Linked DNA regions of Elephas maximus indicus. The protein of the gene in region 4 purifies or fractionates together with the protein of the main gene of each other region. This does not show direct contact. Links are inferred from orthologs where the notes say so. Each region holds a gene or a part of one and is shown on either strand. Other genes may lie near its edges. The genes, in order: FLNB, HERC5, ENO1 and ISG15.

Region 1 (7,366 bases), on a different chromosome or scaffold from region 4:
ATTGATTCCATGTGCAAAGACTCTATTTCAAAATAAAGTCCTATTCACAGGTACCAGGGGTCAGGAATCGACTCGATGGCACTGGGTTTTTTTTTTAGGGGTCAGGACTCCAGCGTATCTTTTCTGGGGAGACAATTCAACCCACAGCAGGTCACCATAATATTGTCTTACAAGATATTATTGTGATTAAGTTCGCCTGCTCCTTTTTACTTCTGTTTTTGATTTGGCTACTAGAAAATTTAAAATTATGTGTGTGGCTTTCATTATATTTCTGTTGAACAGCAAAGGCTCCACCAGGTCTGCAGTGCAGTGAATTACTTCACGTGGCCTTTCTACCCATAGCCTTTGTAACTCCCACTAAATGGCTGGGTGGAACTATGCAAATGAGGTGCTTGTGGCCCACCAAGAGGATCGGACAGCTTGCTAATAATGCAAATAAGGTGCATAACACCCTTGTGGGGGTGGAACCACACAAATAAGGTGGATGGAACCCTAACAAGGGGATTAGTCAGTTTTGCCATCCCACTAGGCTTAAAAAAAGAGCTAATCCCAGAGCAGAGGGGGACCTAATTACCACCAAGGAGAAGAGACAAGGTTGGAACATGTCCTTTGGACCAGGGATCCCTGCGCTGAGAGCCTCCTAGACCCAGGAGACAGATGGAGGGAGCTGTAACATGGAAAACATGGAGAGGCAGGGGCGTGAGATGGCAGGAACCAGGAGATCCGCCTGAGACGGCTGCGATGGGGCTTGCAGACCCATGGAGCTAAGAGGTGTAGTACTTGCCCCAGAAGGCCCCTGCAGGGCTTGGCGGCAGAGGGCGAGAAGCTGTCCTATTTGAGGAACTGTGTCCTGAGTTGTTATTCTTGTTACTTCCAAGTTGATTCCGATCCTGAGTTGTACCCTCTTACCTCCCTAACAAATCACTTAACCGTAAATACGGTTCATGTGTTCTGTGAGACATTGCAGTGAATTAGGGAGCCCAAAGACAGGAGGGAGAGTGCTGGGGGTGGGGGGGAGTAGTTGATGTTAGAGATGATGGAGTGGCACAGCAGCTTGGAGAAGTTGGACATTTGGGACATCTTTAACCTGTACCTCATAGGAATAGCTTTGTGCTTGTTCCTATAAAAGAAATTGTTTAAGGTCTTAAACTCCAGGCTGGATGCTGCAAAGGGACAGAGATGACAGGACAGGAGCCTTGCCCTTCTTCAGCAATTGACCACAGCAAACGGCAACTGCACTTCAGCCCAAAACTCTTACCGTGACTCGCATGTGCGAATGAGGGGCCAGAGTCTGTGCTTCCACTTCTACTCCCTTCTACTCTCAGGGGTTCCACCAAGAGACCAGGGAAACCTGTGACCACGAGTATGAATGGGAGGCCTGGAAAGCACCCGCTAAAATGCTCTCTGCAGAAATGCTGCGTTGAGGTTTTGGGGCCTCATTTCTTTTCAAATATTGATAAAGAGTCATCTGAAGATCTGTCTGCATTTTCCCTCATTTCTAAAGCCACTGGCCACCCCTCCACCCTGGCTGTTGAGCCCCCCCCTCCTAAAAATCACTCTAGAGAGAACTTCTGGAGCCCTAGTGGCACAGTGGTTAAGAACTTGGCCGCTAACCAAAAGGCTGGCAGTTCGAATCCACCAGACGCTCCTTGAAAACACTATGGGGCAGTTCTACTCTGTCCTATTGGGTCGCTATGAGTCAGAATCTATTCGACAGCAACAGCTTTGGGTTTGGGTTTTTAGAGAACTCCTGGAGTCCCTGGGCAGTACAAACAGTTAAAGCACTCAACTGCTAACCAGAGGCACCTCGAAAGAAAGGCTTGGCCATCTACTTCCAAAAAATCAGCCACTGAAAACCCCATGGAGCTCAGTTCTACTCTCACACACAGGAGGTCACCCTGAGTCAGCATCGACTGAATGGCAACCGGTAACTGGTAGAGAACTCCTGGGCTTCTTTCAGTAGTGTGATGAGAATCACCTGGTCTGTCCCAGGACAGGGCTGTCTCAGCTCAGAGTGAAGTAGACTGGATATTTACATGCAGGGCTTATTAGTTGAGCCAAGGCATAGTAAAACAGAAACAGAAGAAAGGAGAAACTTAGCACATTAGCAGCTGCTGAGTGGGCTGAGTCGATGACATTAGCTTCAGTCTCACCTAGCAGGGAGGAGGTCCCTAAGGGAGTGAGACACTGGCCGATAAGTTTTGATGGATGAGTTTGGGTGGAGGAACGCATGAGGCACTGGGAACCTTGGGCACAGGGAAGGCAAAGGTTACCATCTGCCTCTAGTGAATTCACTGTTCAGGGAGCCCATTGTGTGGACAAAGGCAAGTCCCAGGCTGGGGGGCAGCATGGGACCCTCAGGCAGAATACTTTGGAGTCAGATCCAGGTTCAAATCCTATTTTGTCTGGTCTTTACCAGCTGAGCTCCAGCAAACCTCTTCACCTAATCTCTAATGAAGGAAATGAGCATTCAAATATTTATGGAGACCCTGCTACGGGCCAGGGCCAGGTAATACACACTCTCACCCCCAGCCGGTTGTGAGCACATCCAGCGAGCAAGGCGATCTTTCCAAGCAAAGCACTTCAGTGTTGTATGCGTTCACCCACAATCTGCTGGCCTCTCCTGGGCAGCCCCCAGGATTAGAAGCTCTTGATCTCTGTCCTGGTCAACCCCTCTTCCTCCAGGAAGCCTGCCTGCCCTGATCCCCTTCGCCTAAGCCTGGATTAGGTGCCACTTCTCTGGTCCCAGGGCACCCTATGCCTCTCTCTCTCCCCTCCCACAAGAGACTGAATCTTGCAAGTCTTACAGGCTTGATTCTAGTTCTAACTGTGCTGTGGGGCCCTGTACCAACCACTCAGTTTCCTCTTGTCAAATGGGGTCAAGGGCATGGAAATTGCTTACATAGTGCCTAGCACAGGTACACAGTAGGTGCGTAATAAGTACAAATAGTTATTCAAGCTGTTGACAGCAGAGGCCTGGCCTGGGTCTCGGCTGTATTCCAGCATGTAACTCAGAGCCTGGATGAGTACAAGAGAAAGTACTCAGTGCATGATGTGGCAGACAGAACAATGGCCCCTCAAGGATGTCCATGTCCTAATCCAGGAAGCTGTTAATATGTTACCTTATATGGCAAAGGGGAATTAAAGTTGCTGATGGACTTAAATTTGATGATCAGCTGTCTTTTAAGATAGAGAGATTATCCTGGATCATCTGGGTGAGCCCAATGTAACCATACCCAATAACCAGTTGCCTTTTTGTTGACCCAACTCACGGTGCCCCATGTGTGTTACAGTAGAACTGTGCTCTCCACGGTTTTCAATAGCTCATTTTTTGGAAGTAGCTCGCCAGGCCTTTCTTCCGAGGTGCCTCTGGGACAAAACACCTTTCAGTTAGCAGCTGAGTGCAATAACTGTTCTCACTACCCAAGGGTTCTGTGTAATCACAAGGTTTTTTTTTTTTTTTTTAAGAGTGAGCATAAAGCGTGGCTAAAAAAAAAAAAAATTTTTTTTTTTTTTTTTTTTTTTTTTATGGAGATCCAGAGAGATGGCAGCATGAGGACTCGGGCTGAGGTTGCTGGCTTTGCTGATGGAGAAAGGTGCCACAAGCCAAGGCACGTGGGTGGCCTCTGGAAGCTGGAAAAGGCAAGGAAACAGATTCCACCCTAAGGCCTCTAGAAAGGAATACACCTAGCCAACATGATTTCAGCTCAGTGAGTCATGTGAGGGGCATCTAACCTAAAGAACCGTAAGATAATAAATTTGTGTGTGTGTGTGCGTGTATTACTACTACCACTAGCTGTGATTGCTGACTCCTTCTTCTCTTCCGAAGTTAGGGAACAAGCCTGCCTTGATGACCACTGGGCGATACGTGCTGAGAAGAGAGGACCTACCAGACCGTCGGCATTCAATAAATGCTATTGATAATATTATAACTCATATGATTATAACTCATATAACAAAATGTGTTTCCCTCACGACGTCTCCCAGTCCCTAACATGGTGCCTGGCACACACAAGAGCTCAATAAAAACTCTTATTAAATCTATAGATGGATGAAAAGCCCCTCTCCACCGGCACCTCCCCCATGACCGACACCACGGTCCCCGCCCATCCTGTCCAGCCCCCTGCCTTCCCACCACCCAGAGCCAGTTGCCGTTCTCCTTAAGGAGCCCTAAGCCCCTTGGCCAGGAATCCTGCCTGAGCGCGAAATGAGGGTTACCAGGACGACTCGGAACGGGGCGCAGTGCCCACTATGGGCAGCAGGGGGCGAGCGCGGCCCGGGAACTCCCGCCCGAGGACGGGGCGGGGCTTCGGGGGGCGGGGCGGCTTAGCGCGCAGGCGCGGGGCCAGGGGCCTCTTGCGGCCAGGGGCAGACGGCGCAGAGCAACCCCGGCCGCGGCTCCGGTAGCAGCAGTGAGTTCGATCCCCGCTCCCGCACCGGCTTTAGTTCGCGCTCCCCCGACCCCTGGGCCTCCCGACACCAGTTCCCTGCAGCTCTCCGCGTCCTATCCCTCCTCCCGCCGCCAGGATGCCGGTAACCGAGAAGGACCTGGCGGAGGACGCACCGTGGAAGAAGATCCAGCAGAACACGTTCACGCGCTGGTGCAACGAGCACCTCAAGTGCGTGAACAAACGCATCGGGAACCTGCAGACAGACCTGAGCGACGGGCTGCGGCTCATCGCGCTGCTGGAGGTGCTCAGCCAGAAGCGCATGTACCGCAAGTACCACCAGCGGCCCACCTTCCGCCAGATGCAGCTCGAGAATGTGTCGGTGGCGCTGGAGTTCCTGGACCGGGAGAGCATCAAGCTCGTGTCCATCGGTGAGCACCCTGACCCGGCCAGGCTGCGGCCCGGGGTACCATCCGGGCCCCGCGCGTGCGCCCCCGCCGCTGGCAGGGGCTCCCCAGAGCGCGCCCCCACCACACCCAGCGGCCGCGGGCTGGGTGTGGGCGCGAAGGCGAGAGGAGTCGGCCCCCGGCGATGGGGGCGTAGGCCCTAGGCCCCTTCCCCGATACCGTCTCCGGGGCTGGGACCTCCTTCATGTGCCCGCTCCCCGCCATGCGCCCCGGCGGTGCGCCTAGGCTGCTTGTGGGTTGAGGGCTTGGGGTGGGGCTGCAGGGGGAGTGGTGGGAAAGTGGCATTTCTTCGCGCCTGGGGCGTCCCTGAGGGAGTTGGGGGACTGGAAACCCCTTCGTCCGCCTTCCCCGGGGGCGAGGCGCTAGTCAGATGCTCCGCGGAGCGCTCTCCCCGCTGCGCCCAGGCCAGTGCGCTTGGCGGCAGCGGAATGGGCGTTGGCGCGAAGGCCGGGGGGCGAGGGAGACCTGGGGAGGAACCGTTCTCTGCGCCTGGGGTCTCCCAGCCCAGGTGGAGACGGGCCCTGGTACCCTCCCCGCCGTCCCCGGAATGGGTGTGGGTCCCGAGATTGGAAGGAGAGCCGTGGGGGTGTGTCCCTTCTGGCTCTCTCTGCTCGCGGCTCGGCTGTGGCCCCGCGCAGCCCCGGGTGAGCCCGCTCTCCGAGGCTGAAGTTGTAATTGAGAGGTGGTGGAGATAATGGTGACTGCTGCGGTGTACGGAGCCCAAACTAGCCCCGTTCTGTGCTAACAGCCTTCAAAATGATTTCCATCCTTAGACATCGTGAGGGCTGGGGTCTCTTTAGACCGTCTGTTCAGATAAGGGCGTCAGGGACTTAACTGACGTGCCTAGGGTCACCCATGTAGCGAGAACCCAGCTGAGAATTGAAGGAAGTGGGCGACAGTTAGAAGGAGGCTTCTCGTTCCTCTCCGCCCTCCCCACACCAGGGTCTTCCTGAGAGGAGGGAGGTGTTGGTGTCTGGGTTCCTCTCCCCCTCCGCTGTAGAAGAAGAAGCGGGGGTAGGGTGAGGCCTCCCTCATGACCTGGGGCAGTTGGGGCCTTCCAGGAGGATGGCAAGGCTGCTGACGAAGTGGGCTGTGACGGCAGGGGGAAGGGTGTGTGCTGCGTGTGTGCGCGCGCCCGCGTGCACGCACCAAAAGAAAGTGTGCGGATGTACACGGCTGAGTGTGCAGTGCTTATGTGCAGAGAGATTGTGTGCGCATGTACACTCTACCTATGTTTTGTCAATTGAGGCCTGTCAGGGAGCGGCTGTACCTCCTCCTCCAGGCCTGGGCCTGGGGTCTCTTCGAAAGAAGTTACCCCAATGCTAGGAAGAGAAGTGGGCGTGGCTGCTGGGACTTTCTCCTGCCAGAAAGGAGTTCCCTCTAGGCTGGCCTTCCCTGGGCCCCGCCCTCGCCTTCCTTCCCCCACACCTGTCTTGGCGGGTAGGGCTTCTTCCTGTTTCCTGGGCCCAGATGGCTGCCACCTGCCCTGTTGGTCTGGCCTCCCAGCTGGGCTCCCAACAGGGCTTCTCCACCCCCCATGGCCACCCCGCCCTTCTCTGCAGAGGGGAGCTTCGTGGGGTGCTATTGTCTTCTTTTTGAGGGCCCGTCTCCTCTCTTGGGGAGAGTTAGCCTCAGAATTCTCCTGGAATTCCTTCTTTTCCAGGAACCACCCTCCTTCTGAGGAATCTCAAGGCCTGGCCAGGCTCAATTTAGATCCTTTCTTCTTTGTTTTAAAAATGTGTATTTATTTAATTAACTGAAGAAAGAAAGCAAACCATGACTTGAAATCTCTTTTAAAAAAATGAGGGGGAAAAAAAAAAAAACCCACACCACCAGAAAATCCCAGATTGCCTAATTTCGCCAACTGTTTGCAGAGGCTCTAGCTTAGATTCACATCATGCCTGAAGCTTGTAGGTCTCATTTTGGACTTTATTTGGTCCCTTGCATTTTTCTGCATGGTCCTCATGGTTTTCATTCCTGAACCAACCCAGGTCTTAGTGTCTCCCATTGTCTTGACATTCCAGTGTCAGCCTCTCCTCGGCCCCCCGCCACGTGGGCTGTTGGCAGCTTTTTGCTGTGGACCCACCACAAGTTACATTGTTTTATTTGTTTTTTTCCTTTATAATTATAATTATTTCTTTGACCTTATTCCCCAAAGTGGCATTCTTGGGGCAAAGGGTGTGACCATGTTTATGACTTCTGTTATTGACTACCTAGTTGCTCTCCAGAAAGATCTCACAGCAAACAGATTTTCCAGCATCTTGGAGACCCGGAGGGAGACTTGCCAAATGGCAGAACTCCTGCAGGGGTAATGTCTGAGGCCTCCTCCCTGTACTCCTGGAATGTTCTTGGTGATGGCCCTTCAAAAAGTCACATCCAACTTGGACTTCAGTTTATGTATTGACTTCTTATGTCATATTGCACTGTGCTGACTGTGGCAATACTCCAATTTTGGGGCACCCAGTGGTGCTGGGCACTGTCCTAAGTGTGTTCCATTGACCACCCCCCTGA
Region 2 (7,200 bases), on a different chromosome or scaffold from region 4:
GCAGTTCACCAAAAAGTAAGACAAATGACCAATAAAAAAATGAAAAGATGCTCGATTGCACTCAAAATGCAAAACAAATAACAGGAAGATTCCATTTTTTCAAAGATGCCAATTAAGCAAATTTCAAAGATTAAGAATGTGGGTGTTCACATACTTTTGTGGTTACGAGGGGGGAGGGAGGGAGGGTGGGTGGGAGAGGGTTTTTTACTGATTAATTCGTAGGTAAGAACTGCTTTAGGTGAAGGGAAGGACAATACTCAATACATGGAAGGTCAGCTCAACTGGACTGGACCAAAAGCAAAGAAGTTTCCGGGATAAAAATGAATGCTTCAAAGGTCAGCAGAGCAAGGGCGGGGGTTTGGGGACCATGGTTTAAGGGGACTTCTAAGTCAATTGGCAAAATAATTCTATTATAAAAACATTCTGCATCCCACTTTGAAATGTGGCGTCTGGGGTCTTAAATGCTAACAAGCGACCATCTAAGATGCATCAATTGGTCTCAACCCACCTGGAGCAAAGGAGAATGAAGAACACCAAGGTCACACGACAACTAAGAGCCCAAGAGACAGAAAGGGCCACATGAACCAGAGACCTACATCATCCTGAGACCAGAAGAACTAGTTGGTGCCCGGCCACAATCGATGACTGCCCTGACAAGGAGCACAACAGAGAACCCCTGAGGTAGTAGGAGATCAGTGGGATGCAGACCCCAAATTCTCATAAAAAGACCATACTTAATGGTCTGACTGAGACTAGAGGAATCCCTGCGTTCATGGTCCCCAAACCTTCTGCTGACAGGACAGGAACCATCGCCAAAGACAACTCATCAGACATGAAAGGGACTGGTCAGTGGGTAGGTGAGAGATGCTGATGAAGAGTGAGCTAATTATATCAAGGGATCACTTGAGACTGTGTTGGCATCTCCTGTCTGGAGAGGGGATGGGAGGATAGAGAGAGTTGGAAGCTGGCAAAATTGTCACGAAAGGAGAGACTGGAAGGGCTGACTCATTAGGGGGGAGACCAAGTGGGAGTACGGAGTAAGGTGTATATAAACTTACATGTGACAGTCTGACTTGATTTGTAAACATTCACTTGAAGCTCAATAAACATTAATATTAAAAAAATGTGGGTGTTGTACATGCACGGTCAATTGATTTTAGACAAGGGTGGTAAGTCCATCCAATGGGGAAAGAATTTTCTCTTTAATAAATGGTGCTAGGACAACCAGATTTCCACAAGCGAAACAAAGAACCTGGACCCATGCCTCACCCCATATACAAAAACTAACTCAAAATGTATCAAAGACCTAAATGTGAGAACTGAAACCATAAAACTCTTAGAAGAAAGCAGGTGTTTACTTTCTCTCATCTGTAAAGTTGGAGCCCTGGTGGTTTAAGAGCCAAAAGGTCAGCAGCACAAATCCATCGGCCCCCAGCCACTCCTTGGAAACCCTACGGGGCGGTCTACTCTGTCCTATTGGGCAGCTACGAGTCCGAATTGACTCGAGGCAAGGTTTTGGTTTCGTTTACCTGTAAAATCAGGAAACTCTGGTGGCGCAGTGGTTAAGTAATCAAAAGATCAGCTGGTCGAACTCTCCAGCTCCTCTGAGGGAGGAAGATGTAGAGGTCTGCTTCCTAAAGCCTTGGAAACCCTATGGGGCAGTTCTACTGTCCTATAGGGTCGCTATCAGTTGGAATCCCCTCAAGGCACACAACTACCTGTAAAATCGAACCACAGTACCTGACTTTATCTCTGCTGACAGGGGATTTCGAGAGGTGCAACTGAAAGCACTCTTTAAATTGCTCGCAAATGTAATATAATTGAGAACAAGTTAACTATATTCTCCAAAGGCTCACGAAATCCATGCAGGTATGTCCTAAGAAGGAGTGACCAAACCCGTTGCGTCGAGTCGATTCCGACTTTTGCAACCCTACAGGACAGAGTAGAACTTCCCCAGAGTTTCCAAGGAGCGCCTGAAGGATTTGAACTGCTGACCTTTCGGTTAGCAGCCATAGCATTTAACCACTATGCCACCAGAGTTTCCGAGTAAGGAGGTGGGGAGCTCTAAAAAGAAACATTATACAAGAACACTGGCCAAGAAAAGATGAAGATGCTGCCTGCATACTCCCTCCGCACCTCATCAACTTACAGGTGGGACGATCTATTTCTCGGCAACTTTCTGCAAACTGCGCAAACTGGGAACAGGGATAAAGGAGAGTTCAGGTGCACTGCACTTGCGAAACGGGACAATGGCTGAAGCCCGGCAAGTTTCTGTGGCAGCCGAGGACCGCTGTAGCGCCTGGTCCCCTTCGGAGCGCTCATTCCCGCTCAGAGAACAGGACCGCACACTCCAACTCTGGACGCTTATAAAAAGGAGGGTCCGCGCCGGCCCCAGCCCAGGCAGACGCTGAGGCACCGGCCCTCAGCCGCCCACCCTGCACACCCCGACCCGAGGCTGGAAGGCCGAGCGGCGCTGGCCGCCCCACTCACTGGGCTTCCCGGCGCTGTGGCTCCCCACCGGCAGCTGGTGAACCTCGACGCCGGCCCCGCCGTGCTCCAGCACCGCCAGCCGGTCCTGCGTGCAGCAGATCTGGCGCGTCTTCTTGCACCTCCCTGACAACGCTTGGCTGAGGCCTGCCGAGCTGGGGAAGAGCCAAAGCTGCGCGCCCCTCGGGTCCGAAAAGGCTGCGGAGCTGCGCGCGCCGGGGCGTGATGCGGGTTTCGGCTTGGGCGCTGGGCGCTCGGGGCCCCGCGACCTCCTTCGTGGCATCCGCTTCATCGCACCCGGCGCTGCTCTCCCGGGCTCCAGAAACGCCCCCCGGCTCTCTAGACCCTGAGGGGAAACGGAGCTGCAGCCGCCAACCCGCCACAGGGAAGGGCAAGACGAACAACGTCTGCGTCCGACCGCTGCCTCCAGGCGTCGCGTTGCACAGCAGGAGTGTGCGGGCGACGTCGAGGGACTGCAGGCTTCTACTTCCTCTCTGCTCAGATGCCGGGCTTTTAAGTTGCTGTTTGGGGGCGGGGCCTCAATTCAAGTGAAACGAAACTGATTTTGTTTTCAAGAGTACGGAAAACGAAAGGGAAACTCAAATGATTTCAGAACTGGCTTGGAAGGCGACCGAAGTAAACAAACCCGTGGCGGGTTATGAAATGGGTGAACAGGAGTGAGAAGCTCTCCTCGGGCGAGCAGAGGTTACCTAAATTTCTGGACTGAATGGCCTTGAAAGAAACACTGCAATTCCACTTGGAGGCCATTTTCCAAAGAATATTGTGATAACGAATTTAAAGTTTGTTAAGCATTGTATTCCAGGTTCAAGCCACAGGATAGCGGTAAGAGAGTTACCAGGCAGTGGCGCCAGTGATCTGCTTTCTGTCAAAACAGATTTTTTTTTTAATTGTTTGATTTTTTATTGTAATAAATTTATACATAACAAATCATTTGCCATATCAGCATTCTTCAGTTGTACAATTCAGTGCTATGAATTGCCATTATCTGTGTCCAAATTTTCCTATCACCTTTAACAGAAACTCAGTATCCTCTAAACGGTGAGTCCCTCTATTCTCCTCCCCCGCCCCAACCTCTAACAAACTTGGGTCTCTATACACTTGCTTCGACGGTTTTCCAGAATTTCATATACATGGAATTATACAGTATGTAGTCTTTTGTGTCTGGCTTTGTTCACTTAGCATAATGCTTTTGAGATTCATACTTTTTTTTTTAATTAGTACATTCCTCTAGTTATTACTGAGTGATATTCCATTATATGGTGTGGCTTAATAATCTGGCGCTGCTCTAACAGAAATACCACAAGTGGATAGCTTTAACAAACAGAAATTTATTATCTCACAGTTAACGAGTCTCAAGTCCAAATGCAGGGCACCAGCTCTAGGGGTCTTGGCTCCGGGGGAAATCCTTGTCTCTTCAGCTTGTTTCATGGTTCACCTGAGTATCTCCGTATGGCTTGGCATCTATCTTCTCCCACCTGTGCTTGCTAAAGTTTGCTTGTTTAATCTCTTTTATATCTCAAAAGAGATTGACTCAAAATACTCCCTATACTAATCCTGCCTCATTAACATAACAAAGACAGCCTATTCCCAAATGCGATTATAACCACAGGCATGGAGGTTAGGATTTACGACGCGTATTTTGGGAGGGGGACACAATTCAATCTGTAACATTCCACCCTTCACCCCTCCAAATTCATGTCCTTGCCATCATTACATCATCCCAAAAGTCTTAAATCAACTCCAAGTCCAGAACCTCATCTTCTGAATCATCTAAATCAAATATTGGTATATTCCATCCTGTGGCAAAATTCCTCTTCATCTGTGAACCTGTGAAATCTAGGCTATAAGTTATCTGTCTCCAAAGTACAATGGCGGAACGGGCACAAGGCAGACATTTCCAATACAAATGGGAGAAATTGGAGGGAAAGAAAGAATATGTTGCCTCCAAAATTCAAAGAGGCCTACCAGGCATTGTGCCTCCTTTTTGGTCATAGGAGGGGCCAGATATAACAACTTATCCTTCACTTTAGACGGACTATCTCGACATGCCCGGTACCACTGGACTCCTAGAAATTTCACTACGGTGGAAAGTGCCTGAATTTTTGTGGGATTAATTCCCCACCCTCTAGCATACAAATGTTTTACCATTAAGTCCAGAGTCATTGACACTTCTTCCTTACTAGGTCCAATCAGCACAATGTCATCAATGTAATTGACCAGTGTGACACCTTGTGGAAAGGAAAGGCGATCAAGGTGCTTATGGACTAAAATATGACGGAGCTGGAGAGTTGCTATACCCGAGGCGCTAATCTCTGAAACCCCTCCAGGAATGTGGTACTGCTTTTGGTTTACAATTTTCCTAGGTAGGGCAGTTCTAATGGCTCTCTTTTGGCTTTTCCAACCATAATAGCCCTTACTCCCCTTATCAGGGATCCAATATGGAGGTTCTTCCTGTTGCTGAGTGTATTTCTGTTATACATTCTGAAACTGGGAAAATTGCTACAGGATGGATTCAGAGACCCACTGAACCCACTGTGAGATGAACCTGAGTGAAGACTCCAATAATAACAACCTGACCTCCATACACCCCCCGCTCTGACTGGTGGGCCACAGTGATGTTTTGGTCTCCTGGGATTAGTATCGGTTCAGAGCCAGTATCCAATAATCCCTGAAAAGTCTGATTGTTTCCTTTTCCCCAATAAACAGTCACTCTCATAAAAGGCCATAGATGCCTTTGGGGAAGGTTGGGAGAAAGATTAACAATATTGGCTGATTTGATTGACCCCGAGCTGGCTCAATGATTAATTTGGGTTTTTTTTTTTTTTTTTTGGTTACTAAGAGGAAATTGGATTGATGTTGCATAATAGAGGTAAAGAAGAGTATGTCTGGAATACAGGAGATCCTTTAGGACATCTCTTAGTACTACCACACCCTGTGATTAAAGTCAATGGAAAACTATGGCAACCCCATTCCAACATGACTACTAATGGCCCAGACCCTTCAGGAATGAAGGTTTGGGTCATCTCACCAGGCAAAGAACCACGACTGGTTGAGGTGCTTGCTGAGGGCAAAGGGAATACGGAATGGGTGGTAGAAGACGGTAGTTGTAAATACCAGTTGCGACCACATGGCCAGTTGCACTATCATTATTGTTATGAGTATTTCTTCCTTGTTTTATTATATGTGTACATATATATATATACACATGTATATATAGCAATTATTTTTGCTTTCTTTCCTCTCTTATAAAATAGAAGATGTAAACAGGGCTAGTGTGTTTTCTATTGTACTCATGTTAGTTGCATCACATTAGGTGCAAGTATGGCTTTGTAATTGTCTTTATTTAGAGATTGTATGGAAACCCTGGTGGCGTAGTGGTTAAGTGCTACGGCTGCCAACCAAAGGGTCAGCAGTTCAAATCCGCCAGGCGCTCCTTGGAAACTCTATGGGGCAGTTCTGCTCTGTCCTCTAGGGTTGCTATGAGTCGGAATCGACTCGATCGCGCTGAGTTTTTGTTAGTGAGAGATTGTATATGGCTTAAGGAGATGTGTACAGGTACCAAATTGACAAGGGGTGGACTGTGGTGGTTAAGGTTGTATGTCAATTTGGCTGGGCCATGACTCTTACTGGTTTGGTGGTTATGTAATGATGTAGTCATCCTCCATGACATGATCTGATGTGATCTGCCAATCAGTTGTAAGGGGAGTTTCCTTGGAGGTATGCCCTGCATCCAATATACATATGGACTTTCTGGCAAAACTCACTTGCCTGCTCTGGATCCTGCATCTGACTCTTCATCCTCTAACCTCTGGTTCTTGGGATGTGAGCTAGCAGCCTGCTGCCTGAGCTGCAAATCTTGGAATTCATCAGCTCCCACAACCCCGTGAGTCAACAGACTTCCACCTGACCTGCAGCTCTTGGGATTCATCAGCTTCCACAGCCCTGTGAGCCAGCCTGCCATCTGACTGCCAAATCTGGGATTCATCAGCTTCTACAGCCCTGTGGACCAACAGTTTATCATCCAATCTGCCAATCTTGGGTTCGTCAGGCCCTGCAACCATGAGAATCAGGAGAAGGCTCCAGCCTTTTGCCTGACTCATGGATTTGGGAATTACCAGTCTCCACAGCCATGTGCTTTATCTCCCTGAGATAAATCTCTCTATACATATTTATATATACGCCTCTCCGGGTTTGCTTCTTTAGAGAACCCAGCTGAAGACATATGGATATAACATAATTTGTTTATTCATTCACCAGTTTTTTGTTTGTTCATTCACCAGTTTTTGGCTACAATGAATAGAGCTGCTATGAATATTTGTGAACAAGTCCTCAAGTGGACATTTTTATTTCTTTTGAATAAATGCCTAGAAATGGAATTGCTGTGTCATATGGTAGAAACCAAGACTGTTGCCTGTGAGTCTGACTCACAGAGACCCCATGTATTATAGAGTATAGGGTTTTCTTGGCAAAAGTGAAAGGATTTCACAAGGCCTTTCTCCTACTGCATGACTGAGTTCGAACTACCAAACATTAGGTTAGTGTTTTTGTTGTTAGGTGCCGTCAAGTCAGTTCTGATTCACAACAACCCTATGTATAAGAAAATGAAACACTGCGCCGTCTTTTAGGTTAGTAGTCTAGTGAAAACCATTTGCGCTACCCAGGGACCTGGTCATACGGTGAGTATATGAATAC
Region 3 (7,481 bases), about 8.7 Mb from region 4:
TCTTGACTCTGTCCTCCTTAATCTCTTCATTTGTGCACACCTGACAAATGCCGACCTCACATGACTTTGTTTAAAAACTATACCGCGTCCTCCCACCTGTCTCCCTGAATGTATGCTGTGTTTCTAGGGTAGCCTTGCCCAAACCCTGCTTCCTACAGCTGACTTTGTCATCTTTGAAGAAGGCACAAGAGTGGGCTGTTGATAGTAGGAAGTCCTAAGAGGTGCCCCAAAGCCATAGTAGAGTGTTGACTAGGATTTACAGAGAGAAAAAATAAGTTTTTTTTTTTTTTTTTTTTAAGTGAAGGACTCAGAAAGGGTGGTAAATTGATAATCGGAGGGGGCTTAATCTGTAGAAAAAAAACTGCAAGGAAAGAGCTGAATTTGATATTTTGTTTTCAAACTGGGTCAGAACTCATATGCTGCTGGTTGGACTACACAGATATACAAACACTTTAGAAAATAAAGGTGAAGAAGCGTATACCCTATGACCCAGCAGTTCCACATCTAGGCATTGTTGTTTTTGTTGTTAGATACCATTGGGTTGGTTCTGACTGATAGTGACCCCACACAAAACAGAACAAAACACTGCCTGGTCCTATGCCATCCTCACAATTGTTGCTATCTATGCTTGAGCCCATTGTTGGAGCCACTGTGTCAATCCATCTTGTCAAGGGTTTTCCTGTTTTTTACTGAGCCTCTACTTTACCAAGCATGATGTCTTTCTCCAGGGACTGATCCCTCCTGATAACATATCCAAAGCATAGGCCCTAGAAAAACACTTGCATCTGTGCTCAGGACACATTTGCAACCAAGTTCGTAGCAGCATTATTCACATTATAAAGGGAGAAAAAAAAGTGGATACAACCCAAATATATGTTGACAGGAGAATATGTAATATTCACACAATGGACTGCTATGCAGTACTGACAAAGAACCACCTACACTTCCACACCTATGGGGTCAACATGGACTGATCCCACAAACATCAAGTTAAGCAAAATAACTAGCAAAAGACTATACGCAGTGTGATGCCATTTATATAAAGTTCAAAAAACGATTAAAAAAAAAAGCCATAAAGAAAAGCAAGGGAATAATAAACACAAAACTTAGGTTAGTGGTTATCAAGAGGGATACACAGGGGGCCTTAACAGCACTGCTAATGTTCCATTTCTGAAGCTAGTGGTGTGTCCACAGACATTCATTTATTATCCATGAGTCGGAATGGACTCAATGGCAACTCACAACAAAACATATAATCCTTACATAGTCTTTGGTATATATAAAATATTTAATGATAAAAAAACAAACATGAAAACCTCATGGCCTATTATGAGGAGGGACATAGATGCCTCTGAGGGCCTTCTGTATGTATCTGATCTCTTACCTCCCTGGACCCCTCATCCTACTCTGAAGTTTGGAGAGCTGCTTTCAGAAACAGTATGTCCCTTTCTCCATAAACCAGCGTTTTCCAACCAGTGGTGCACATACCACAGATGGAATCAATAATCCAGATGGGTCCTTGTTGTTAGCTGCAGTGGAGTTGACTCCAACTTGGTGGCATCACTAGGGTGCAGGGGGTACAGACCACACTGGTGACACTTTCAGAGGGGGTGACACCAAAATGACTTGCCTATAAAATTTTTGTGCAGTGTTTCAGCAGAAATTTATTTTTATTTTTTAAAAAATCCTGTAGTTAGTTGTAACAAAAGCATTTTTCATAAGACCAGCTTAACCCACTCCCACTGCCATCAAGTCGATTCCAACTCATAGCAACCCTACATCTATCAATATACCTACAAGGCTAAAGCTCTATGCAGATTTACTTTTTGAACCTTCTAATGCGCACCAGTCAAGGTTGTCACTGTTATGCAATTACAATGACACCTCGAATGATGTGATTTTGCCAGCTACGAGCACGCAATGTTGTTTTCTTTGCTGCCAGTGTTTTTACAGTTGTTGATTTTGTCAAATTTGCCGGTGTTTTAGCTACAATATTGTGGTATTATTTGTGAATCTATATCTATAACTTTTTTGACAATGAAGTAATTAAAAAGAAAAAAAGGCTTCCTTTCAGTTACTAATAATGTTATCACTAATAATGTTTTAATTCGATGTAGAAAGGCTACAAAATAATTTTGTTGTTAGTACTCACATAATCTAAGAAATTTTATAATTAAGCACTTTACAAACTATATTTATCACATATTATCTTATGATTAAAACTGAGGTCCACGGGGGTTGGGGGCGACACCATGAGTTACTGTACTGGGTAACACCACTGTTCCACAAGGTCTTCAAGGCTGTAAGTTTTCGGACCTTGATTTGTAAGCTTTCACTTAAAGTGCAATAAAATTAAAAAAAAAAAACCTCCAACCTTTTTGCTAGCAGTCAAGTGCTTAACCATTTGCACCATTGAGGGCCTCAGGTGGGTCATAGGCTGCTGCAGATTCACCTGCCCTCCATCCAAGCGCTACCTGCAGATCTCCTGCAAGACGGCCTGCATCGCTTCAGGTATGGTATGCTGATAGTAACCTGAGCACCACCAGCAAGGCGAGTGCCCTTGATATGCCACGCAATAAAATTGCTCAACAACCTCACTTTAAAGGGCATCTCCAATAATCATTAATGTTTGAACTACAATTTGAGGTTCAAGTGCTGGCTCATAATGGTGAGCTGTGGGCTCCAAGAATCTTGCAACAGCAGCTGACTCAGATCATGTTCTGCATTTGGCTTCCTGCTAGATTCACTGGTTCTGGCCAGCCAGCAGTTATGAGGGCCTTGATTATCTTTATCTCTAACAACGTTGGTGTAAAGTAAAAGGGATTGTTTGGAGCCCTTTCAGGGCCACGCCTTAGAATTACTCTGAAAATAAGAGCTCTAAATGTCTGATTTCCTTGGAGCCCTTACAAGGCTTGAGAGATGTTGGCTGTGATGTAACTGCTGAGTCATGGGACTCAGATACCGGTTTCCAGCAGCCAAAAACGGCAGTGGTGAAATCACGAACATTGCTTGCAAAATTCATATAATTCTTTAGCGAACCATGTTACAATCTCCATGTTGTGTTTTTGCTGAATTTAATCTTAAAATTTTTGTTTCTTAGTCAATGGAAAACAAATACTGTGGACCCCATAGGCCTTCATCTTTCCAATGCTTTGAAAACCTAAGCTTGACAAGAAAGATGCTAGGAGTTAAGGACGAAAAGCAGTTTTAAGAGCTAATCAGAAGAAATACTAAATTCAATACACATTTGAATCTTTCTATGCAAGGCAATATGGGAAATATGGAAATCTATTACATTGTTTAAGACCTCACACTCACAAACCAGGAGGGCCATGGAGAAAATACAAAAATAACTGTATTAGAACACGAAGTGACCACTCAGCCCCTCCTTGGGGTGGGGGATGTGTTGCAGAGCTGACTTCTTAATGGTCTATCAGATCTTGATCACAATGGCAAAGTCACTGCACCTACCAATTGTTTCTTATTTGCTGGACCACTGTGGAATATTGCTTACTGTTCTGTACTTTAAGAAATTCCTCTCCCAAATCATTACATTTATAGTTCGCACGAATCCCTCGAATTCCATAGATAATGGAAAGGGAGGGATACGAAGTCTCCAGTTAAAGGTGAAATAGTAACAGGCACTAGTGTATGAATTAACACTGGGGAAGCATGTGGAGATGTGCCTGGCACAGAGTAAGAATACTTGGTTAAGTATTGGCTATAATTTATGGAAGACGAACCTTCCTTTCAGCTACCTTGCCTGATCCTCAATGTCAAGCCGGCGTGGCAAGGTGAATGGGGCAGGGTCACCTTGGGCTTGACACGCGGGTGCCTGACCTCGTTGGGCACGCGCACAGCGCACTGCGCGCTGGCGCAGGCAGGCACACGTGGCCTCCTGGACTCAACGTGGCAGACTTCGCCGCGGTCAGGTCCAGGTCGTGGGGGTCGTGCGCCCCGCGCGGTCGCTCAACGCTTCAACTCCCGGGCACCGAGTTCCGGGGCGGGGGAGGCCCGGGAGGCAGGCCGGGAAAGGGTGCGCCGCGAAGGTCGTCACCAAGGTCGTAGCCAAACGTGCGGCCCGGAGCAGGAGCTACGCCGAGTGCGTGCGAGACTCGGAGTACGTGCCGGCGCCCCGAGCCCTCATGCCCGCCGCGCCACCCTGCCCCTCCCAGGCCCCGGCTCCCCAGGTCCCTGTTCTCCTCAGGGGTCCCCACGGGGAGCGGGGCTCGCCAGGATCCCCGTATAGCCACTAGGGAGTCAGGTCCCCAGTGTCCCTAACCCAGCCCTGCGACCCCAAGTCATCGCCCCCAGATCGAGATCGGTGCGGCAGCCGCAGCCCCGCCCCTTCCCGGGAGGCGAGGACCTGAGTGGCGGAGCGCTTAGCCAATGGCGAGGCGGCGCGGACGGGGCCGGCCCCGGAGGCGGGCACTGGGCGGTGCCTCCTAGGCGGGCAGGAAGTAGGGCGAGGCGGCGAGCAGAGGATCCCGGGGAGTTAGCGAGGTCGCACGCAGTTGGCCTAACGCTCGTCTTGGTGTCTGCAGCACTCTCCGCTTCCTTCCTGCGCCACGAGAACCGGCGGCTAGGTAAGGACTCCTGCCAAGGGAGCGCTCGTGCAGGTGGCGTGTGGGTTTTCCTCGACCGAGCTTGTGGGAGCTCCCTCCCCGCAGGGACGTGGCGTGCGGTGGGTTCGGGCGCGGACGGGACCGATGGGGACATGCGCGCCGACTTCCCGCCTCGCTCTCCGGCGAGTGTGTCTGGGCACTCCGCAGATTGAGTTCGGGCCGCTCCCGGATGCGCTCGGAGGCCTGCGGTGTGCCCTGGCAGGACCCAGTGCCCTTCCTGCGGCCCAGGGGCGCGGGTGCGGCGCTAGGCGCACGTGTAGGGCGCCAGGTTTCTTTGTAGGGGAAGATGCTGATCAGCACGTGATTACGGAGTGAAAGGCCAGATAACTGTACTCGGAGAGTCCGGACTAGAACACGCAAACCATTTAGGATATCTGGCGTCGTGGGTGGAAGGCGCTTCTCTATGAGTAGCCAAATGGAAGGTTTTTGGGGAGGGATACAGACTTTGCGCGGGTGATAATTAAAACCAGACCCTTTTTAAAATGGAGGAAGGGACGGGGGGAGATGCCCAGAAAGCTGCAGTTCCTCTTCTCCCCACCAGTAGCCCAAGCGTCCCACTAGTGCCTCAGGGCCTGCAGCTCGGCGCCTGGGTGTCCAGCCAGCCATCGCCGCAAAGGCTTATATAATTTCTAGAAGGTGCTTCTTGAGGAAACTGCAACAGTTCCGGTGGATAATGGGGACGCCCTTAGGCGACCTCGCCCGAGTCAGGCGAGTACCCTGCGCCTCTCCCCGACTTACTCCCTGGAGGGGCCCTCGTGTGGCATAAAAAGATTTTATTTTTTATTTTATTTTTTAAAGCTGCCTGTTTCCTCCACACTGGTCTTGACTCCTGGGAGGTGTGGTCTGTTGGTTGACTTGCTCCAGGTCACTGCCCCGTCCACTTGTTTTGCGCCTGATAACGGGATTCAGTCCAGACAGAAGTGATCACGAGCCGGTTTGCTGTCTCCCTGCTCGCTGAACTTTAATTACTTCGGAGAATGATTTTTCTATAAATGTAAAGGTGTATTACATTTTATTTGCACCTCAAATTTTAAACAAATTTGCCCTTTTGGGTGATAGTATGTAGAAATTAGATACTTTTTTATTGGCTAGTGAATAAAGCTCCATTGTTACACAGAAGTGACTTGGGTATCAAATTTTGAAACTTACAGTAGATTAAAAAGATAGGATGCCAGTTGCTACTTCAGAACATTCCAGAGAAGATGTTAGAGGGAAACCCAGCTAGATAACGGTTTTTGAATAATAATTCATTTCTTCTCATCCACTTCACTTCAGGTTGAGTTAGTTTCTTCCTTAGAGAACTCCTGGGGGGGGGAAGTAAGAAAGGGGCTTTTGGGAGGACTTGCTATTTGCTCTTGGTAGCTGTGATTCCTTTTCTTTTTTAGGTGCGTTTTCAAAGGAAGCCCCTTCCATTGGCGTATGCTGGTGTTCAAAGACAATCTTTCTTCCATTTACAAATCATAACATTTCAGAATTGAGTTTTTTAAATGGGGTAAAATTCCCTTTGGGAGAAATACTAACTAGATGTCATTATTAATGTGTCCTATCTAAAGATGCGAATACTGGGAAATTCAAAAGGCCCAGAAAGTGGCAGTAACAAAGAGCACGGACCAAGGAGCTCATCGTTCCTGAGCACCAAACTCAAAATTGTAACTGGATATCAGTTGAATATTCTACTTCTTCCTCAAACACTGACCTTAATGAAATATGCCCCAAATTTTTAATTCAGTATTCCATTATAAGCTTGGTTTTCCTCCTGCATCCCTACCTTGTGGGGGGGGGGGGGGCCTGGCCTAGATGGTTTTTCTTGTGAGTTTCATGCCCTTTCTTCCTCTGCCCTTAGGTTTGGGCTTGGCCCTTTTCCGTTTCCATGCCAAGCCTCGTAAACTCTCGACAGTAACCAGTTTCAGACTCCTCTTAAGCCGTCCTGTATCCGCCACCACATTCATCTTTACAGGTGGTTTTGGTTTCTCCCTGGTGTGCACATGCTTTGGCCTTCTTTGTTCTGCTTACAGGACGAGACCTGAACTGCTGGTTTAGGGCCTTCCAAAGCTGGGGCCAACCTACCTTTTTAGGAGCAATTCCCATTACTTTGCAGCAGACTTGTTTCCACTTCACCTAGCCTTCCTACCTGCAGCATTTAGTCCAGTGCAGCCATCTTCTAGTCCAGGAAGCCTCGGAGGCAATCCCTTGAATGAATGAGTAATGAACACATTCTGGTTTATGGAAAATATGAACTGTGTTTCCCCTACAGAAACTCACCATGTCTATTCTCAAGATTCACGCCAGAGAGATCTTCGACTCCCGTGGAAATCCCACTGTTGAGGTTGATCTTTATACTGCAAAAGGTATGTGCCACTTGGATTCTGTGGTTCTTTAGTCACGCACCATCTTTAAAACCTACTTAAATTCATAGAGCATTAGACCAAAAAAAGCCTGTTGTGAAAACCTTTCTTGTGGTCTGTACATACTAGTCGGTTGTGATTCCTGACTTGGTGGGGAGCAGGTTATAAGGCAAGGAGTCCTTGACTCCTGGATGGCATTTAAAACAGAACATAGGTTGGCTCCTAGGTCAGTGGGGTAGGGAAGTAAGGTAGGGCCTTGTCCCTAAGAGGTCCCATCACTAGTTTGCTTCTCAGCTTTCTGTGACCAAATAAGCAAAAGTGGTTGTGATAGAATGATCTTCATCCCTTGATAAGGAAGGAGATTAGGGGAATGCAAGCAAGTGCAAATATAGCACTCTTAACTTTCTTTCCAGAAATCACCTTTAACCAAGGGTGGAGAACCCAGAGGCTCTTATTTTTACTGGGCTTTTTTTTTTTTTTTTTTTTCTTAAACCACTGCTGTAAAGTCAAG
Region 4 (5,575 bases):
CTGCCCAGGGAGGGGTACTGGCTCCACTGGGCAGCTCGGCCTTCATCAAACCCCTGCCCAGACCTTTCCCCAGACTAATGCAAGTAGGACAAGGCAGGCTGGTCAGTTCTGGGGTGCCAAGAGACCCTCAGCCCCAGTTGGTGTGGGCCTCCCTCCCTCACAACCACCAGGATACGTCCTGGGGACCCACCACCACACCTTCCCAGGTGGGGGGCAGCTGTGCAGGGCTGGAGAACACTCACCTGCATGGGCTCCAACAAAGTTTCCTCCTTTTGTTTCTCTAAAGTTAATTTGCGTGTGCCGACATGTCTTACTTCAATTTCTTCACTATTTTGAGCCCACCAAGCTCTCAGTGTGAAACCTTTGTCCTTTAACCCAGAGCCTTGTTGGTAACCCTGGCCTGGTCACCCCCAGCGACCCTGGGTCCCCTCCCCCCACAGTCTCCTGCTTTTCCCCAGCAGCGGTGGGGAGAATAGGGGCAGACAGACGCAGGGGCAAGACAGAGCAGGAGGCCAACAGTTCATTTTGCATCAATTTTTATTACTGGCACGGGAAGCCCGCAGGTCTTGGAGTGGGCACCCCAGGTATCTCCTCCTCCAGTCCCCTCAGGAGGGCAGAAAACTCAGCGTCCCCTGGGGCCTCTTCAGCCTCCCCGAAGCCGCAGATTCATGTACACTGTGCACCTGGGGGTAAGGCCATAGTCCCCCAATAGCTTCTGTTCATCCAGGGACCTCCCCTCAAAGGTCAGCCAGAAGAGGTCAGCCTGCACCCTCTCCTGCTGGCACACTTGCTGCTTAAGCTGGGCCACAGTGTCGGTCAGCCGGACCTCATAGGCAACGCTTCTGCCCTTGTCATTGCGCACCAGGATGCTCAGGGGCTCGCAGCTGTCCACTATCAGCAGGACCATGCTGCCAGGGCCCAGGCTCTGGTCCATGAGGGGCACTCCGTCCTGTAGCACTGTGCCATTTGAATGGGCCAGCCGCAGCTGGAAGGTAGGCACGCCTATCTCCTTCGAGACCCGCTGCTTCAGCTCCGACAACAGCATGGAGGCCGTCACGGGCACCAAGATCTCCTGGCCACTCAGCATCTTCACCTTCAGGTTGAAGCCCTGCATGGCATCAAGTGGCTCAGGAAGCAGCCTGGTGCTGTCCCAGGGCAAGCTCCTAGAACCCAGGGCCACTGCCCCTCCTCTCACTTTTCTCCACCCACCAGGCAAGGAACCCCAGGGATGGGGGCCATGGAAGGGAGGCATTGCCAGAAGGAGGGCTGGTCTCCCTGCCATCCTGCCCCTTCCCTTGCTAAGATGCCCCGCTCTATGCTCTACTCCCAGGGAATCCAGGGTTGGCGTCTGGGACAAACCCTCCTTTTAAGATCCAAATTCTGGCTTCACCAGGAGCCTGTCCCTCCTCACACTGGGATGCAACCTCTGATAGCCTCAGAGCATCTTGTACCCAGCAGGTTCCCACCCCCGGGAGGCCCCACAGTAAGGAAGAGTTCAGAGAAGCAGCTGGTACTGAACCCACCTGCCTCCCACCTTCAAACCCGCCTTACCATGGCTGTGGGTTCTGGTGCTAGGTGCTCCGTAGCCACAGAGAAGTTTGTTGCCTCTTGGCTCCCACTTCCCCTGGCCCTACATCCTCTGCCTTTTATGGGCCTGAACAGCACACGTCATGGGGCGGCATCAAGGGAGAGGAGCCGGCCAGAGGCTGCCTTCAGATTCAGTTTCAGTTTCCTTTTCCCAACCCATGCCCCTGAGTGAGCGGCAGAAACAAAACAGAAAGGCCGGGGAAAATACGGTACAGGGAAAGAGCTGAGTTCCCAGGCTCAGAAGCATCCCTCCCCACCTCCACTGCCATCCCTACCCCATGCCCCATCCTGCCCCATCCCCTAGAGTATGCATTCAGAAACTCCCTAGATGTCCAGCACTTCAGGTCCCTTACAAGATGCACAAATGTCAAAACAGTGTGAACTAATGACTAGAAATTTTCATTTTCAGTTTACCAATTTGTAAATTCGTAGCACATTGCCTTGCTTAATTCAGAAACAACATAAAACAGTGACAATCCAAACTACCCAGATTACCACCATTGATTTAGGATAAGAGCTGTTCAGACCCTTCTTTAATGAACAGATGTATGTTATATTTTCTACAAAAAAAAAAAAAAAATCAACTCATGGACACTATCAAGAAAGTGAAAAAAGAACGTACACAATGGAAGAAAATATTTTTGAATTATGTATCTGATAAGGAATTCATACCTAGAATATGCAAAGAACTCCTACAAGTCAACAACAAAAAAGCAAGCAACCCAATTAAAAAATAGTCAGGCCACCAGACACCTTTTTAGCTCAGTAATGAAGTCGCTCCTGAGGTTCACCCTTCAGCCAAAGATTAAAAAAAAAAAAAAAATTTTTTTTTTTTGTAATCTTTGGCAAAGATTAGACAGGCCATAAAACAAACAAGACTAAAGGGGCACACCAGCCCTGGCTCAACGACTAGAAGGCAGGAGTGGGCAGGAAAGCTGGTAATAGGGAATCCAAGGTCAAGAAGGAAAAGTGTTGACATGTCATGGGGTGGTAACCAACGTCACAAAACAATATGTATACTAACTCTTTAATGAGAAGCTAGGTTGTTCTGTAAACCTTCATCTAAAGTACAATGAAAAAAACAAACAAAAAAAGTGGGCAAAGGACTTGAATAGACCTTTCTCCAAAGAAGATGTAGTAGTGGCCAATAAGCACATGAAAAGGTGCTCAGCATCATGAGTCAGAGAAATGCAACACAAAACCACAATGAGGCACCACTTCACACTCACTAGGATGGTTACGTTAAAAACAGAAAGAAAACAGAAATTAAGTAATGGTGAGGTTGTGGAGAGATTAGGAACCCCCTTACATTCCTGGTGGGAAAGTAAAATAGTGTAGCCTGTGAAAGAGTTTCCCCAAAGAAGTGAAACATACAATTACCGTATGACCCAGTGATTTTACTCCTAGATGCACACCCAAAAGAAATGAAAACAGGTGTTCAAACAAATACTTTTACATGCATGTTTACAGCCATACTATTTATAATAGCCAAAAGGTGGAAACCCCAGTGTCCATCAGTGAATAAATGGATAAACAAAATGTTGAATATTCTAAAAAGAAATGAAGTTCTGATACATTCTACAATGTAGATAAGCCTTAAAAACACTACACTAAGTGAAGGAAGCTAGATTGTTCTTTGATATTATTTGATTCTGTTTATGTGAAATATACAAACCCATTGCTGTTCAGTTGATCCCTGCTCCTAGCAACCCTATAAGACAAGGTAGAACTTTCCTATAGGGTTTCCAAGACTGTCATCTTTACAGAAGCAGATTGCCACATCTTTCTCCCATGGAGCGATTACTGGGTTCCAACCTCTACCCTATGGTTAGCAACTGAGAGCTTTAACCACTGAGCCACCAGGACATCTTATATGAAATAGCCATAATGGGTAAATCCACACAGACAGAAAGTGGATTAGGCTTTTTAGGGGCTGGGAGGAGGGGGTGTGACTGTAAACGTGTACAGGGCCTCCTTTGGGGTGCTGAGAAAGTTCTGGAACTAGATAGAGGTGAGGGCTGTACAACACTGTGAAAGTGCTAAATGTTACTGAATTGTACATTTTAAAATGATTAATGTTATGTGAATCTTACCTCAATAAAGGAAATGCTTGCAAAAAAAAAAAAGACTCCTTATTTCATAATTTGCTTTGGTCGTGAAACAGTGCATCATAAACATCTTTTCATAGTAATATATATTTATACAAGTTGTTTTAATGGCTGCATATGTTTTGATCAGAATAATGAATTCATTACAATATAGAGTGTAATTTAGTTAACCAATCCCCTATTCTTGGCTATTTAGGTTATGCTCAAATTTTTACTATTATGAATAGTACAGAACAGGCTTAAGTTAGCTAGAAATGATTTGTGAAGAGAAACACAAAATATGGGGGGAGAAGTGTTTTGAATATGAATCTGACTCCCTGCCCCCCCCCCAAAATCTCATGAAAAATCTCATGGGACACCAAAATTATTAACATGCAAGAAACAAATGGCGATGCCTAATTTCCTTCTTTTTGTTATTTTAGGTTTATATCTTGATTTTCTTCTTGCATAAATGATATTGGTATTGCAAAAAGAAAACCACACACTTTTATTGAAACAAAGAATGCAGAAGGTAAAAATCCTCCTGAGTCCCCCCTCCGGTGAGCATCCTTAAACCTGATGTGCCTGTCCCCTGATTTCTGAGTGCTGGCATATACACTAAAATGTTCATTTTTTTTTAGCTCTGTTAGCCCATGTCTTCCAATCTCCTTCCTGCTTTTGACAGGAGGAGCAAACTCAAAGGCATTAAGGAGACAAACTCACAGAACAGTTGACCCCCCAACAAGTGGGCCTGAGAGAGAGCTAGAGTGAGAGCTCTGCCTGCACAAAGACTCTCAGTGACCCCAGGACCCTGTGTCCTTCCCCCCTCCCAGGGCTCCTCACAGAAGTGACTGTGTGTCTTCCCCCTGGAAAGCTAGCCTGCCAGATACGTGCACATGCATACATACTCACACACAGCCCCTTGCCTCCTCCCGTGCAAACCCTGCGGTGCTGCCCTTCCAAACAGTGGCCTTGGTCAGTGATGTCCTCTCAATTTCCCTCCTACCCCCTTGCCCTCCTGCCTGCTCCCCTCTCCATGGGTCTGGCTGACCAGAGACCCTCAAGGGTCATTCTTCGACCAAATACTGACTGAGGGTCTGTCTTAGTCATCTAGGGCTGCTATAACAAAGAGAAGTTTATTTTCTCACAGTCTAGGATTTTTTTTTTTTTTTTTAGGAGGCCAGAAGTCCAAATTCAGGGCATTAGCTCCAGGGGAAGACTTTCTCTCTCTGTTGGCTTTGGAGGAAGGTCCTTGTCATTAATCTTTCCCTGGTCGAGGAGCTTCTCAGCACAGGGACCTCAAGTCCAAAGGACAAGCTATACTCCTGGTGCTTATTTTGTCGGTGGTGTGAGGTCCCCATGTCTCTCTGCTCGCTTCTTTCTTTTATATCTCAAAAGAGATTGGCTTAAGATACAATCTAATCTTGTAGATCTCATCAACATAACTGCCGGTAATCCATCTCATTTACATCAAAGTGACAGGATTTACAACACACAGGGAAATCACATCAGATGACAAAACGGTGGACAATCACACAATACCAGGAATCATGGCCTAGCCAAATTTTGGGGGACACAATTCAATCCAAGACAGGGCCTAAAAGATGGGGAACAAGGCTGGCACCACACCAAGAAATGGGTCTGACTTTGTTTCATCCAACTCTGCCTAATTCAGCTCTTTCCAGGATCATGCGAAACCTTCAACCCCATTAAAGAAATAGTTCTTGCTTCCTGTGCAGAGTGATTCTCAGCTGGGTGAGCAGCAGAGAGGCCAGAAGTAGGCCAGATGACAAGCCAGCCTCTTCCTAGGACCCCGGGGACCAGGCTGAGCCTTCTCATGACGTTGTCTCACAGGGGTCGACCTTATGCTGGTGTTGGTCTCTCGCAGTTGAGTGCCTGGC

The links.
Region 1: the proteins of ISG15 (region 4) and FLNB purify together in Homo sapiens (affinity purification with mass spectrometry; 3 studies listed by BioGRID and IntAct, with this or other methods). This does not show direct contact. The link is inferred for Elephas maximus indicus from reciprocal best matches to the Homo sapiens genes ISG15 and FLNB.
Region 2: the proteins of ISG15 (region 4) and HERC5 purify together in Homo sapiens (affinity purification with western blotting; 3 studies listed by BioGRID, with this or other methods). This does not show direct contact. The link is inferred for Elephas maximus indicus from reciprocal best matches to the Homo sapiens genes ISG15 and HERC5.
Region 3: the proteins of ISG15 (region 4) and ENO1 purify together in Homo sapiens (affinity purification with mass spectrometry; 4 studies listed by BioGRID, with this or other methods). This does not show direct contact. The link is inferred for Elephas maximus indicus from reciprocal best matches to the Homo sapiens genes ISG15 and ENO1.

Annotation. Positions count from the first base shown.
Region 1 is NC_064838.1:62,571,951-62,579,316, forward strand, and holds the start of FLNB (filamin-B), read left to right. Parts: upstream 1-4,341; 5' UTR 4,342-4,527; coding exon 4,528-4,819; intron 4,820-7,366. UniProt on the Homo sapiens protein: Connects cell membrane constituents to the actin cytoskeleton. May promote orthogonal branching of actin filaments and links actin filaments to membrane glycoproteins. Anchors various transmembrane proteins to the actin cytoskeleton.
Region 2 is NC_064823.1:66,893,122-66,900,321, forward strand, and holds the start of HERC5 (E3 ISG15--protein ligase HERC5), read right to left. Parts: upstream 3,017-7,200; 5' UTR 2,780-3,016; coding exon 2,491-2,779; intron 1-2,490.
Region 3 is NC_064821.1:48,284,415-48,291,895, reverse strand, and holds the start of ENO1 (alpha-enolase), read left to right. Parts: upstream 1-4,460; 5' UTR 4,461-4,586; intron 4,587-6,879; 5' UTR 6,880-6,888; coding exon 6,889-6,973; intron 6,974-7,481. UniProt on the Homo sapiens protein: Glycolytic enzyme the catalyzes the conversion of 2-phosphoglycerate to phosphoenolpyruvate. In addition to glycolysis, involved in various processes such as growth control, hypoxia tolerance and allergic responses.
Region 4 is NC_064821.1:39,589,872-39,595,446, reverse strand, and holds ISG15 (ubiquitin-like protein ISG15), read right to left. Parts: upstream 1,652-5,575; 5' UTR 1,555-1,651; coding exon 1,552-1,554; intron 1,109-1,551; coding exon 644-1,108; 3' UTR 520-643; downstream 1-519.